3 linked regions of the Tribolium castaneum genome follow. The protein of the gene in region 2 purifies or fractionates together with the protein of the main gene of each other region. This does not show direct contact. Links are inferred from orthologs where the notes say so. Each region holds a gene or a part of one and is shown on either strand. Other genes may lie near its edges. The genes, in order: Fcp1, Polr2C and GPN-loop GTPase 1.

Evidence for each region.
Region 1: the proteins of Polr2C (region 2) and Fcp1 purify together in Homo sapiens (affinity purification with mass spectrometry; 3 studies listed by BioGRID and IntAct, with this or other methods). This does not show direct contact. The link is inferred for Tribolium castaneum from reciprocal best matches to the Homo sapiens genes POLR2C and CTDP1.
Region 3: the proteins of Polr2C (region 2) and GPN-loop GTPase 1 purify together in Homo sapiens (affinity purification with mass spectrometry; 3 studies listed by BioGRID and IntAct, with this or other methods). This does not show direct contact. The link is inferred for Tribolium castaneum from reciprocal best matches to the Homo sapiens genes POLR2C and GPN1.

Annotation. Positions count from the first base shown.
Region 1 is NC_087396.1:10,632,653-10,636,948, forward strand, and holds the start of Fcp1 (RNA polymerase II subunit A C-terminal domain phosphatase), read left to right. Parts: upstream 1-1,438; 5' UTR 1,439-1,478; coding exon 1,479-1,696; intron 1,697-1,747; coding exon 1,748-1,901; intron 1,902-1,954; coding exon 1,955-2,325; intron 2,326-2,806; coding exon 2,807-3,968; intron 3,969-4,296. Other genes in the region: Rab2 (ras-related protein Rab-2), read left to right, coding at 1-274, 331-511, 737-835. UniProt on the Homo sapiens protein: Processively dephosphorylates 'Ser-2' and 'Ser-5' of the heptad repeats YSPTSPS in the C-terminal domain of the largest RNA polymerase II subunit. This promotes the activity of RNA polymerase II.
Region 2 is NC_087398.1:8,331,986-8,334,851, forward strand, and holds Polr2C (DNA-directed RNA polymerase II subunit RPB3), read right to left. Parts: upstream 1,576-2,866; 5' UTR 1,520-1,575; coding exon 1,434-1,519; intron 1,389-1,433; coding exon 1,217-1,388; intron 1,169-1,216; coding exon 781-1,168; intron 734-780; coding exon 555-733; 3' UTR 523-554; downstream 1-522. Other genes in the region: uncharacterized protein LOC103314913, read right to left, coding at 1-131, 177-452; uncharacterized protein LOC103314918, read left to right, coding at 1,778-1,825, 1,890-2,117, 2,165-2,326, 2,372-2,866. UniProt on the Homo sapiens protein: Core component of RNA polymerase II (Pol II), a DNA-dependent RNA polymerase which synthesizes mRNA precursors and many functional non-coding RNAs using the four ribonucleoside triphosphates as substrates.
Region 3 is NC_087401.1:17,593,969-17,597,464, reverse strand, and holds GPN-loop GTPase 1, read right to left. Parts: upstream 2,246-3,496; 5' UTR 2,104-2,245; coding exon 1,941-2,103; intron 1,889-1,940; coding exon 1,294-1,888; intron 1,231-1,293; coding exon 1,040-1,230; intron 991-1,039; coding exon 881-990; 3' UTR 549-880; downstream 1-548. Other genes in the region: Sxl (sex lethal), read left to right, coding at 1-49, 114-271, 319-485; rifampicin phosphotransferase-like, read left to right, coding at 2,622-2,733, 2,784-2,899, 2,961-3,099, 3,148-3,307, 3,362-3,472. UniProt on the Homo sapiens protein: Small GTPase required for proper nuclear import of RNA polymerase II (RNAPII). May act at an RNAP assembly step prior to nuclear import.

The sequences.
Region 1 (4,296 bases), on a different chromosome or scaffold from region 2:
GGTTCCAGCCAGTTCATGATTTGACAATCGGGGTGGAGTTTGGCGCTCGAATGATCACCATTGATGGCAAACAAATCAAATTACAAATTTGGGACACTGCCGGACAGGAGGCTTTTAGATCTATAACGCGGTCGTACTATCGGGGGGCTGCTGGCGCTCTTTTAGTTTATGACATTACGAGGAGGGAGACTTTCAACCATTTGACTACATGGCTTGATGATGCCCGCCAGCATTCCAACTCAAATATGGTCATCATGTTGATTGGAAACAAAAGGTGTTCATCCCGTTTTATTTTTTTTTTTTTCAAAAGTGTTAACTAAACCCTTCCAGTGATCTAGAGAGTAGGAGAGAAGTGAAAAAGGAAGAAGGAGAAGCTTTTGCCAGAGAACACGGACTAGTCTTTATGGAAACTTCAGCAAAAACGGCCGCCAACGTTGAAGAAGCGTTTATAAACACAGCAAAAGAGATCTATGAGAAAATACAAGAGGGAGTCTTTGACATTAACAATGAGGTAAATCAGCGGTTCTGCTCTGTTAAGCTAATTGGCATTTTCTAAAGGTTACACAAACTTTAGAAATCAATAATTTTATACATTAGCAAGTTCATTACCCCATTTTTGGTGATACTTTCTTCTGACTTTGAAATTAAGTTGGCAGCTTGAGACGTCACACGTATAGTGCTGCCAACTCAAATTCACAACTATTGTGTTTTAAATTTTGTTGTTGAAATTGTGCAGGCAAATGGAATCAAGATTGGCCCCCAACATTCCCCCACAAATCCATCGCTTCCTGGTGCAGGCGGCGCCGGGGGTTCGCAGGGTTCGAGTTGCTGTTAAGATGACTTGTCTGTCTTGAGGGTTACATTATGTGTAAGAGAGAAACCCTTATTAAAGAATTGAAAGTGACTGCACAGGTTTATTACATAAATTAATGATCTGATATCTTCCAAATTAGCAAGTTGCACTTTACCCCATCGTTCAACAACCTTTAGAGACAAAACTTTTCAAATATTTTGATACATATGGTGATATTGGCCCCCACTAATTTATGTAATGAAAGGATTATTATTGTGATTATTTTAAGAGTGTGGTATAGTTAGTCCAATACAGGTCACATATTTATTGTTTTGAGTTCATATTTTATAGAGTACCAACCGAAAAGCCGTTTCAGAAGCATTACATCTTACTTTAAACCAACTTTATTTTTGTTATTGGTGATAATAGTGTTATGTGTTTTATTGCGACTATTATACTTAATTAAGAAATGTAGTGTTTATCTCATTAAATAAATTTGTATTGTAAAACGTCAAATTTTTTATGTAAGCTTCATGTAATATAATCAAATATAAGTTGTATTGCCAGTTTGTGTTTGTTTTACCCAAAATTTGAAACGGGCGCGTGAGTAATGGCACCCGGAAGTGCACGCGTCGTCCAATCAGGCCGCGTTCTGCGTTCATGAGTGAAGTCGTTTCCGTGCAAGATGGCGGAAAAAACTATGTGCATATCACAGCAACAAACAAAACCTATAAAAATTTTAAAATGGAAAGTGAGCGAAGGGAACACTGTCTCGATCGGAAGAGTAATCCTTCTGTATGATTTTGACGGGGCTTCCAAGGTGGAACAACGCAAGTTGAAGGTAACACAGGCCGGAACAATTTTTAAGATTGTGGCGCAGGAAGGCGCCATTGTCAAGCCAGGGTAAGCAACAGTTTTGAAAAGGCGCGCGAAAGCTCACGCTCGAATTTTCAGCGAGACTTTGTGCGAATTGAAAGAATGCACGCATCCGACGGTGATGAACGACATGTGCGCAGAATGCGGCACGGATTTGAGGAAAAACGACGTCAGTGTGGCGGCTTCCGTGCCCATGGTGCATGCCATACCTGACTTGAAAGTCAGCGAAGAGGTGGTTGCGTTATATAAAATGCCGCTGCGGGGGTTTGACTTGCATTGTTGCAGCTTGCACAGAAACTCGGCAAAGCGGACGTTGATCGGCTTATTAGAGACAGGAAACTTGTCCTGCTTGTGGACTTGGATCAGACCTTGATCCACACAACCAATGACCACATTCAGCCGAACATCAAGGATATCTATCGCTTTCAGTTATACGGGCCCAATTCACCTTGGTACTTCACAAGGTTGAGGCCCGGAACCCATCAGTTTTTGAACAATATTTACCCGTTTTACGAGCTGCATATTTGCACCTTTGGCGCAAGGAATTACGCACATATGATTGCTGCGGTTCTGGACAGGGACCAGAAGTTTTTCTCAAATCGTATTCTCTCGCGGGATGAGTGTTTTGACCCAACTAGCAAAAAGGCGAACTTAAAGTACGTATTTGAAAAGAAAAATCTGAAAAATCATTCCGTTATTCCTGTTTTTTGAGTCTTTCAAAATCATAAGTAAATAGTTTTTCTCTTCAAGTGTTTTTGAATCACTTTGCATATGTTCACTCTACCATATTTGAGTGTAGAAGGTCTAGCTTTCGAAAAAAAAAAGGCAAAAATGAGACCAGGATGAAAAACTTGATAAATTCGGACAAGAAAGCAAAATTAAAAGTAATTTTTGCCTTAATTACTCTCAAATCGAAGGTACTTTAAGACGAACTTGCACAATAAATAAATATATCGGATTAAAAATTTAAAACCAACTTGTTAAACTGAGAGAAGCAAGCTAAAGTAACAGTTTCGATCTAATTTTCTAGTCTTAGACTATCTTCGTGATATTTAAAACAACAATTGTGCTAAAAGTTCGCGAAAATATTTTTTTATATTTTTTGATACGCTGTGTTACATAATTTTTTATATTTAGGGCTCTATTTCCTTGCGGGGACAACATGGTGTGTATTATTGACGACAGAGAGGACGTGTGGTCGAACGCCGCAAATTTGATTCATGTCAAGCCGTACCATTTTTTTCAACACACCGGCGACATAAACGCACCCCCTGGTTTAGACAAACATGAAAATGATAACAAGGGAGTTGATTTAACAAAAATTAAAGACCAGAAAAAAGACGAACAAATCCAGAATAACGATAGTAAAGCGACAGAAAATGACAGTGAGAAAAATGGTGAAAATGTCGAGGAAAGTAAAGTTGAGAATCAGGTTTCAAATGAATCTGAGAGTACAAAAAACGAGAGTAAAGAAAATACCGAAGATAGTGAAGGAAATAATAAAGTAGATGAAAATAAAAACGGTGACGACAGTAGCGAACAAAAAATTGAAAATGTTGAATCTAAAGGTGTGAATGGTGAAGCAGTAACTAATGACGAAAAGCCTCCACCTGAAGAAAGTAAAACGCAAACGGAAGGGGACACCAAAACTGAAACCCCTCCGGAAACAAAAAACGCAATCGAAATAAACAATCATTTAGTAGAAGTTGAAGACCCCGATGACTATCTCTCCTATCTAGAAGATATACTAAAACGTATTCATCAAGCTTTCTATGACGCTTATGATAAAATGGAATCGGGAGAGGTTCCCGACTTGAAGAAGGTGATTCCCGGGGTGCGAAGTCAGGTGCTACAGGGCTACAAGCTGGTTTTTAGCGGGTTGGTGCCAACTCACATCAAATTAGAACAATCAAAAGCGTACCAAATCGCCAAGAGTTTGGGTGCTGAAGTTACGCAAGAGCTGGAGGACGACACGACACATTTGGTGGCTGTTAGGCCAGGCACTGCTAAGGTGAACGCCGGCAGAAGAAAGAAGAACTTGAAGATTGTTACACCCGATTGGCTGTGGTGTTGTGCAGAACGGTGGGAGCACGTAGACGAGAAGATTTTTGCTTTGAATAGCAAAGGCTCAAAAAACCGGCATCCACCGCCTCATTGCAGCAGTCCAGAGCATATTATAAGTTATCCAGAGCACAATACGCCCGCTATGCGAAAAAGGACACCCAGTGGAAGGTTTATGGACACGATTAATCCTCTCATGTCGTTTTCCAGCGCAGATATAGCGGATATGGATAAGGAGGTAAGGTTAAAAATTAGGTGAAAGGGGAATACGTTTATTGTGTTCCTAAACCGGACACTAGGGTACCAGCTATAGAAAAAAAGCGTTGTCCATAAAATCTTAATTAAATTTGCAGCAACCAAGACTTTTATTTAATAAAAAATCGTCAATTAAAAATAATGTAGGGCGACGAATTTGTTTTCAACCAACTTCAGTTAGGATCTTCTTTATCTGACAAACTGGTCGAAAGTCGGCAATTAGTTTTATTCAGTTTGACATTTTGTTTTATAATTACAAACGTTTTTTTTTTTTGGTACTCTTGCCTTTTGCGGTTGGGGGCAATGTAATT
Region 2 (2,866 bases):
GTGTACATGTGGGCCAGCAACAAGTTGCGCATTTCGGGGTCTGAAACGTCGTCGATACTCACAGCTGGGGACATGTAAACCCTTGGTCTTGTCTTGATTACGTTTTCTTTGGCTGCATTCTCGGGAATTACCTTAATTGTATCTTTTTATTTTGTTGACTGTATTTTTGTACATACGGGGGTTTCGAAAGGTACATGGGGGTCCGTGCCTGTGATCTCTTTGCGTCTCCAAAGTAAGTTAAACGGGATGTAGACGTCGGGGCGTCGGGCCGCAAAAGTTTCATTGTCTTTAGGGACATACTCACTCGGGGGCTTGTCTTTTTTGTCCAAAAATTTTGCTTGACAATTCAAAGTGTCTTTACGAGGCTCAAGTGGGAATTTTTTGTAGTCATTCTGATAAGTGGTTTTGCTTCTAAAGATGTCCAACTTAATTCTGTCGTCGTGCTCGTTCATTTTTTCAACAGAAAGAAGGAACTGACTGTTTCAGTAATTGTAAAAAGTGACAGTTCAAACAAAACACTAATTTAAAAATTATCGGCTTTATTAACGTTATAATTAAATAGCAAGGGCATCGTTCTGTACTTCATGATTAAGCTGAGTCTGCAAATTGGACAATTTATCCTTCAGCATTGCCACCCCCATTATGACGATATTTTCGGGTTTTAGGGCTCCTGCAGCTTCCACATTGAAATAAAACTTGTTTGGTTTCAATTCCCAGTTAAAATCAGCCTCGTCTGGAACATTATGGTCAAACAAAACAACTAACAAGTAAAATATTTACATTGATCCTCATCCAGTTCGCTGTATTCGCTCTTGGGCCATTCGTCTGGCTTAGGAAAAAGCGTGTGTCTCATAGCATTATCGGGGTCGTACTCGAAGGCCACCCCCGCCGTGGGGTTCCACTTGGCGTGTTCCTTACCGAACCCCTTTTTAGCGTAAGCTTTAACCTTCAACTCTTGCCCTTTCCGCAACTTGATGATCAGAATTTCGTCAGTGTCGCCATACTCTGACGATTCATCGTCCCTGTGTTTGGAAGTGGCCGGAATAACTCTAGGATCGCTCGATTTTAAATCTGCGGTGGTAACGTGCCGCGTGTGGTCGTCAGTGCATTTCACATCAAGGGTGAATTCAACACTGCATTCATGACAAAAATCGGTGCAAATGCAGTCCTGGAAATTGCATTTTAGATGTGAAATAGATCAAATTAAACGACTAACTCTTGGGTATTGGAGACGTTGCACCACGTCGTCTGATATGAGGGGGATCAAGCCTATTCTGTGGGCCAAAAATTCGTCACTTAGGACGGTTGAGTTCGCCTCCAACTTGACCCAATCGATGGCCAAAGTTGGCGTTTCGGCGATTAGGACGCGCCTGATGCTGTTAGCCACGCTAAAAATTGGCCAGTTAGTGCCCCCTTAAAGAATTGTTGCTCACCTCAGATCGGTGTCTTCAATGTAGAATTTCACATTATCGTCGGTTAAATCGGTTATGTGGACCGAGGGCTGGTTTGCGTACGGCATATTAGAAAATTTCAATTACGAAAAGACAGGATTTGAACTTTTTTTAACACAAACACCGACAACAACACGACAGAACCTCAAAACTTATTATAAAAGGCAACTTACAGCACTGTCTTGTGTAACTGGTTGCCTGTGCCTATCAAAACTGTCAATTTTTGTGGTGTCAAGGATTTGTCAACCTCTGCAAATTTTTATTTAAAAATAAAAAACGCGAAAACAGTTTAAATATCGTGAGAAATTAACAAGTGTCCAATAATAATGACCGATAACATTCCCACAACGCCATATGTAGTTCAAATTAGTGAGGTAAGTGCTAATTGTTATTTATAAATTAGTAAGATTAAAGTATTATATTGCAACGTTATTCTAGCCCCTCGAAACCATACACTTGGCAGAACAAGTTGATAGTCAACTACAGATTGCCCAAACCGTGAGTAATCCTCACATCTTAGTTGAATCCATGGATAAGCCTCTTGAAATCATTGAAGAACCTTGCACGAGTGTTCCCCAAGAAGAACCACTGGGTTTCCAAATTATGTACCCCGAGGAACAACCATGTGTCGTCAAAATTGTGTACCCCCAAGAACTGAGTTTGATTGTGAGAACCACTTATCTCTTATTCCTTGAATTTATTTTTTTAATTAGCGAGCTCCAAATCTTGTAAAACGTGGACGCCCTAAAAAGAAGAAGCACGAAGCGCCACAAACTGATGCAAATACCGAATCAAAAACGGACAATGTCGAGGCTTCTAAAGCTTCCAGGACTCGTTCTGGTCGTCTAGTCAAGCTCCCAAAACACATAGAAAAGGTAAATTTTCAAGTGTTTTAGAAGTTAATCAGTGATGTTTCACAGGATTTCAAAAAATTTCAACCCAGTGTTAATGATCGCGAAGTACAAGTCACGGATTTTGAGAGAGTTGAGGAGAAGGAGAACAGTAAAATAGAATTTGCTCAATTACAGACCAGAAAGCGGGTGGTGAAAGCCCAGTTCAAGTGCCCCAAATGCTTCAAGGCTTATTTGGGCAAAAACAAAATGATTCAACATTTGAAAAAAAATCCCGACCATGGGCCTCTACCCGAGGGTTACCAGCAGTACAATTTCGATGTTTGGAATTATTTGTTTGACATCACCCAAAAATGCAAGGCTGGGCAAAGGGGCGTCAAGTTTTGCGAAGAATTGAGCAATTTGCTACATAACGTGCAGTTGCTAAAAAGCGCACTGTTTAAGACTGTCACAGATAACAAGAATTGTGTTCAAATTGATAAAGTTTTAGGCAATGCCATTGGCCTGGCGCCTGGGAAATATAAATTTGATGAGAATGAGTTGTATAAGGATGTCACTGTGCTT
Region 3 (3,496 bases), on a different chromosome or scaffold from region 2:
TTTTAAAGGACAAAATTACCGGAATGCCACGTGGAGTTGCCTTTGTCCGGTATAATAATGATGATAATAATAATTATTAAAACTTTGTAAATAATAATTTGTTTTTCGTTTAGTTTTTCGCGAGGAGAAGAGGCCAAAGCTGCCATAGCCGACCTTGATGGCAAACTGCTTGAAAACGCAATGCTTCCGTTGAGTGTTCGCGTAGCAGAAGATCACGGCCGTCAAAAAGCTCAATATTTGGAAAATTGGAGTTTTTCAATGCACAACAGGGGTAAGAAACGGAGGTTTTGACTTAATTTTGGCATTTCGGGTGTTTAGGTTTTGTACCACCGTTTCGAGGAGGGACAATGAATCCCTTCAGGAAAATGCCACCACAGCCGCCTGATAATTTACAAAACCGTAATCGCTTCCAAAATTATAATTCGAATAATGTGAGAAATATGGGAGCAGGCGATAATTATCTACAAAATTCGTTTTTTTGTTAATTGCTTCATTTTTTCTTTTTTGTTTCTGACTGAGAATGGTTTTTGTGTTAATTGAAGAGTTGATTTTATTTTACAAAGTTTCTATATTTATTTTTATATTGATAGAAAAGCGTGCCAACTAATTGTATGTTGAACGCTAAATACAATAGACATTTATTTATTTATTATTATATATATTTATATAAAATAGGAAAAAATATGTACGCAATTGATGTGCCTAAGAAAAAACTTAACACCAGCTATGGTTTTTTTTTTCTTTTTGACACACAAAATGTGTTAATTTTTTTCTTAACCAACGATCTGAATAATTTATTGTAATTTATTTCTAGTTTCAAGTGAATAAAATTTTAATTGTTGTTTTCTATATTTTTTCCTTTTATTTAATAAATTACCTACTAGGTTTGGTGTTTCTTCATCTCTGCTTCTTTTGCCCTTTTCACTTGCATTTCTCTTTGTTGTTGTAGCACTTTTTTAAACACATCGTCTTCTTTTTCATTATCAACATCTAATAAAAGAATCAAATCAAATAATAAATTAATCAAACAAGTCCCTACTTTGTTGATATGGAGCCGCCTGTTCTTCACCCTCAGAGTCTTCACTACTGTCATTACCTGGATGTCTTAGAAAAACATCAGACAATTCGGCCCCAGCCGACAACGTAAAACATTGTTCATTATTTTTCGATTTTTCCAATTTTTGTGCTTCTGATTGTTGTTTTATTTTCAACCATTCGCTTCTATATTCACTAAAATAGATATAAATAAATAAATATTCCAGTAACTACAAAATATAGAAATAAAGTTATTACGTTTCGTATAAAATCCTAGCTTCGTCTATTAGTTTATATAAATCTTCAAGTCCTTGTCCTGTGGCAGCGCTTACTCCACAAACTTTTAAATTTCGGTAAAACTCATCCAATGTTAAAGCCATAGACCTCGTCAAATTGCTGATGTAGCTTTCGTCGTCAGCAGCTTCAAGTGCTTGTTGAAACGACTCAAAATCGGTCATCCAATCAACAGCATATGAATGATCAACGATATCAACTTTATTCATAACAACAATGAAAGGAAGACGCGTTTTATACAAAATCGAGCAAGCGTAAAGCATGTTTGACATAAACGTAACAGGAGAAGTACTTCGCACACAATCAACAACGTATAAAATGATTGTTGGTAAAGTTGAAGCCAAAGTTTCGGTAATAATCGAACCCGAAACCGACCAAGTAAACACCTCAATTTGACCAGGAGTATCCAAAATGCACAAATCATGATTCGACTTTTCAATAAAACCAATCACTTCAGAGAATTTCGTTGAAAATAAGTTCAAACTTGTGACGATAGCACCATTAGGGCCTAATTTGTACTGCTTCATAACCTCCTTGTAATTTACCGTATCTCTAATATCTGTAATTTAACATTAAATCCCAAGAAAACTTTGACGCCCGCGAATACTTGCCAATATTAGCGAAATAGGGTAAATTGAAACAAGCAGGGTCCAAATTCACAACGTACGGTTTTTTCGGAGAATTTGATAAGCGAGTAACAAGACAAGTTTTGCCAGAACCGGCCATTCCAAGCACTATTACACTCACGGGAGCTTTGCCCCCCGTTTCGGACATTTTTCATAAAATAAAGTGGAAAAAAAGTTTGGTTAGCTTCATGACATTTGACAGTTGGAACAGAAGCTGTGTATTTAGGTTCAAACAATCTTTGCAAATTTGTGCCTCAAGACAGAAAATTTTTGATTGTATATAATAACTTTTAAATCAATTCATGTAATCGCTTTTGCACTAACTGGATTTAAAAAACCCATAATTTAATTTTTACAAATTCTCCAGTGGCGTACTTTCTGGGGTTCTTTTTTTGAAAATTACATTTAAATCACAAAAATGTTCACTTCCGTTTCGGAATGATGGCATTGACCTATGATACTAATACTTTCATGTAATAATAAGCAATGCAATTATCTGTTTGGCCTTGATTTATGTTTACATCACTGATCTGTAAATGTGTCTCTATCCAACTCCAATCCAAAGTGCTCACGCAGATAAGTTAAAATTTCAAGTTTAGATAATAATTATTATTATCTCAAACACCTGTTTGAAACATTTAATCGAAATTACTTCTAGTCGTGACCATGGAGCTCTTACTCAATTTTTGTTATTACGTAACACTTTTTCTAATTCCGATCTCACTCTACGTTCTTGTATTCCAACATCGGACAAAAAATCGTTTTTACACAAACCGAGGTATTTATTTCTTTCCATAATTAATTATGTATTTACTTGATTAATTTTAGATTGGTTTTATATAATTAAATTCCTAATCGCAAAATCGGCCGTCAAAAAACATCAAAACAAATTCAAAACAAAAATTAACATAACCGAAAGTCCAATAGAAATTCGGACGGAAAATGTAAAACATTAAACTAATCTATTAGATAAGTTAGTATCAATTAATATAATTTTTTTTACAGTACTGTGATAATTATTTTATATATGGAGCAGATCAAAAAGGCAATAGTCTATCGTTACGTTTTATAATTGGGTCAGGTCTAGTAGGCGAGGTTTTTCTTTGTTTACGGCTTTCAACAGGCGCCATCTATACATTTCCTGGTAAACAATAATATTAACATATCTAACTGTAATTCTATTAATAAATAGGTGAAAAAAAGACAAAACAGTATAATCTATCAGATTGGCATTGGAAAACAAAAGACCTCCATTTGGAAATTCTGGAACCATTCAAACGTCACCGAGTGACATTTAATGGATTATTGAGCAACGCCACCAACGATATTGAACATGTCAGATTCAATTTGACGTAAAAATCAAATAAAATTAATTGGTCATATGATTTAAATCATTTTTGTTGCAGTTGGATTGCAACAAATGCTCCCCGTTTTCATCCCCAAGACGCCGCCACTGACTTACTCACCAATGCACTTGCACAGCACCCGTGGCGTGACGGTGATTGGCTATCACTGCTGTAAGAATAACCAATCAGATGCAA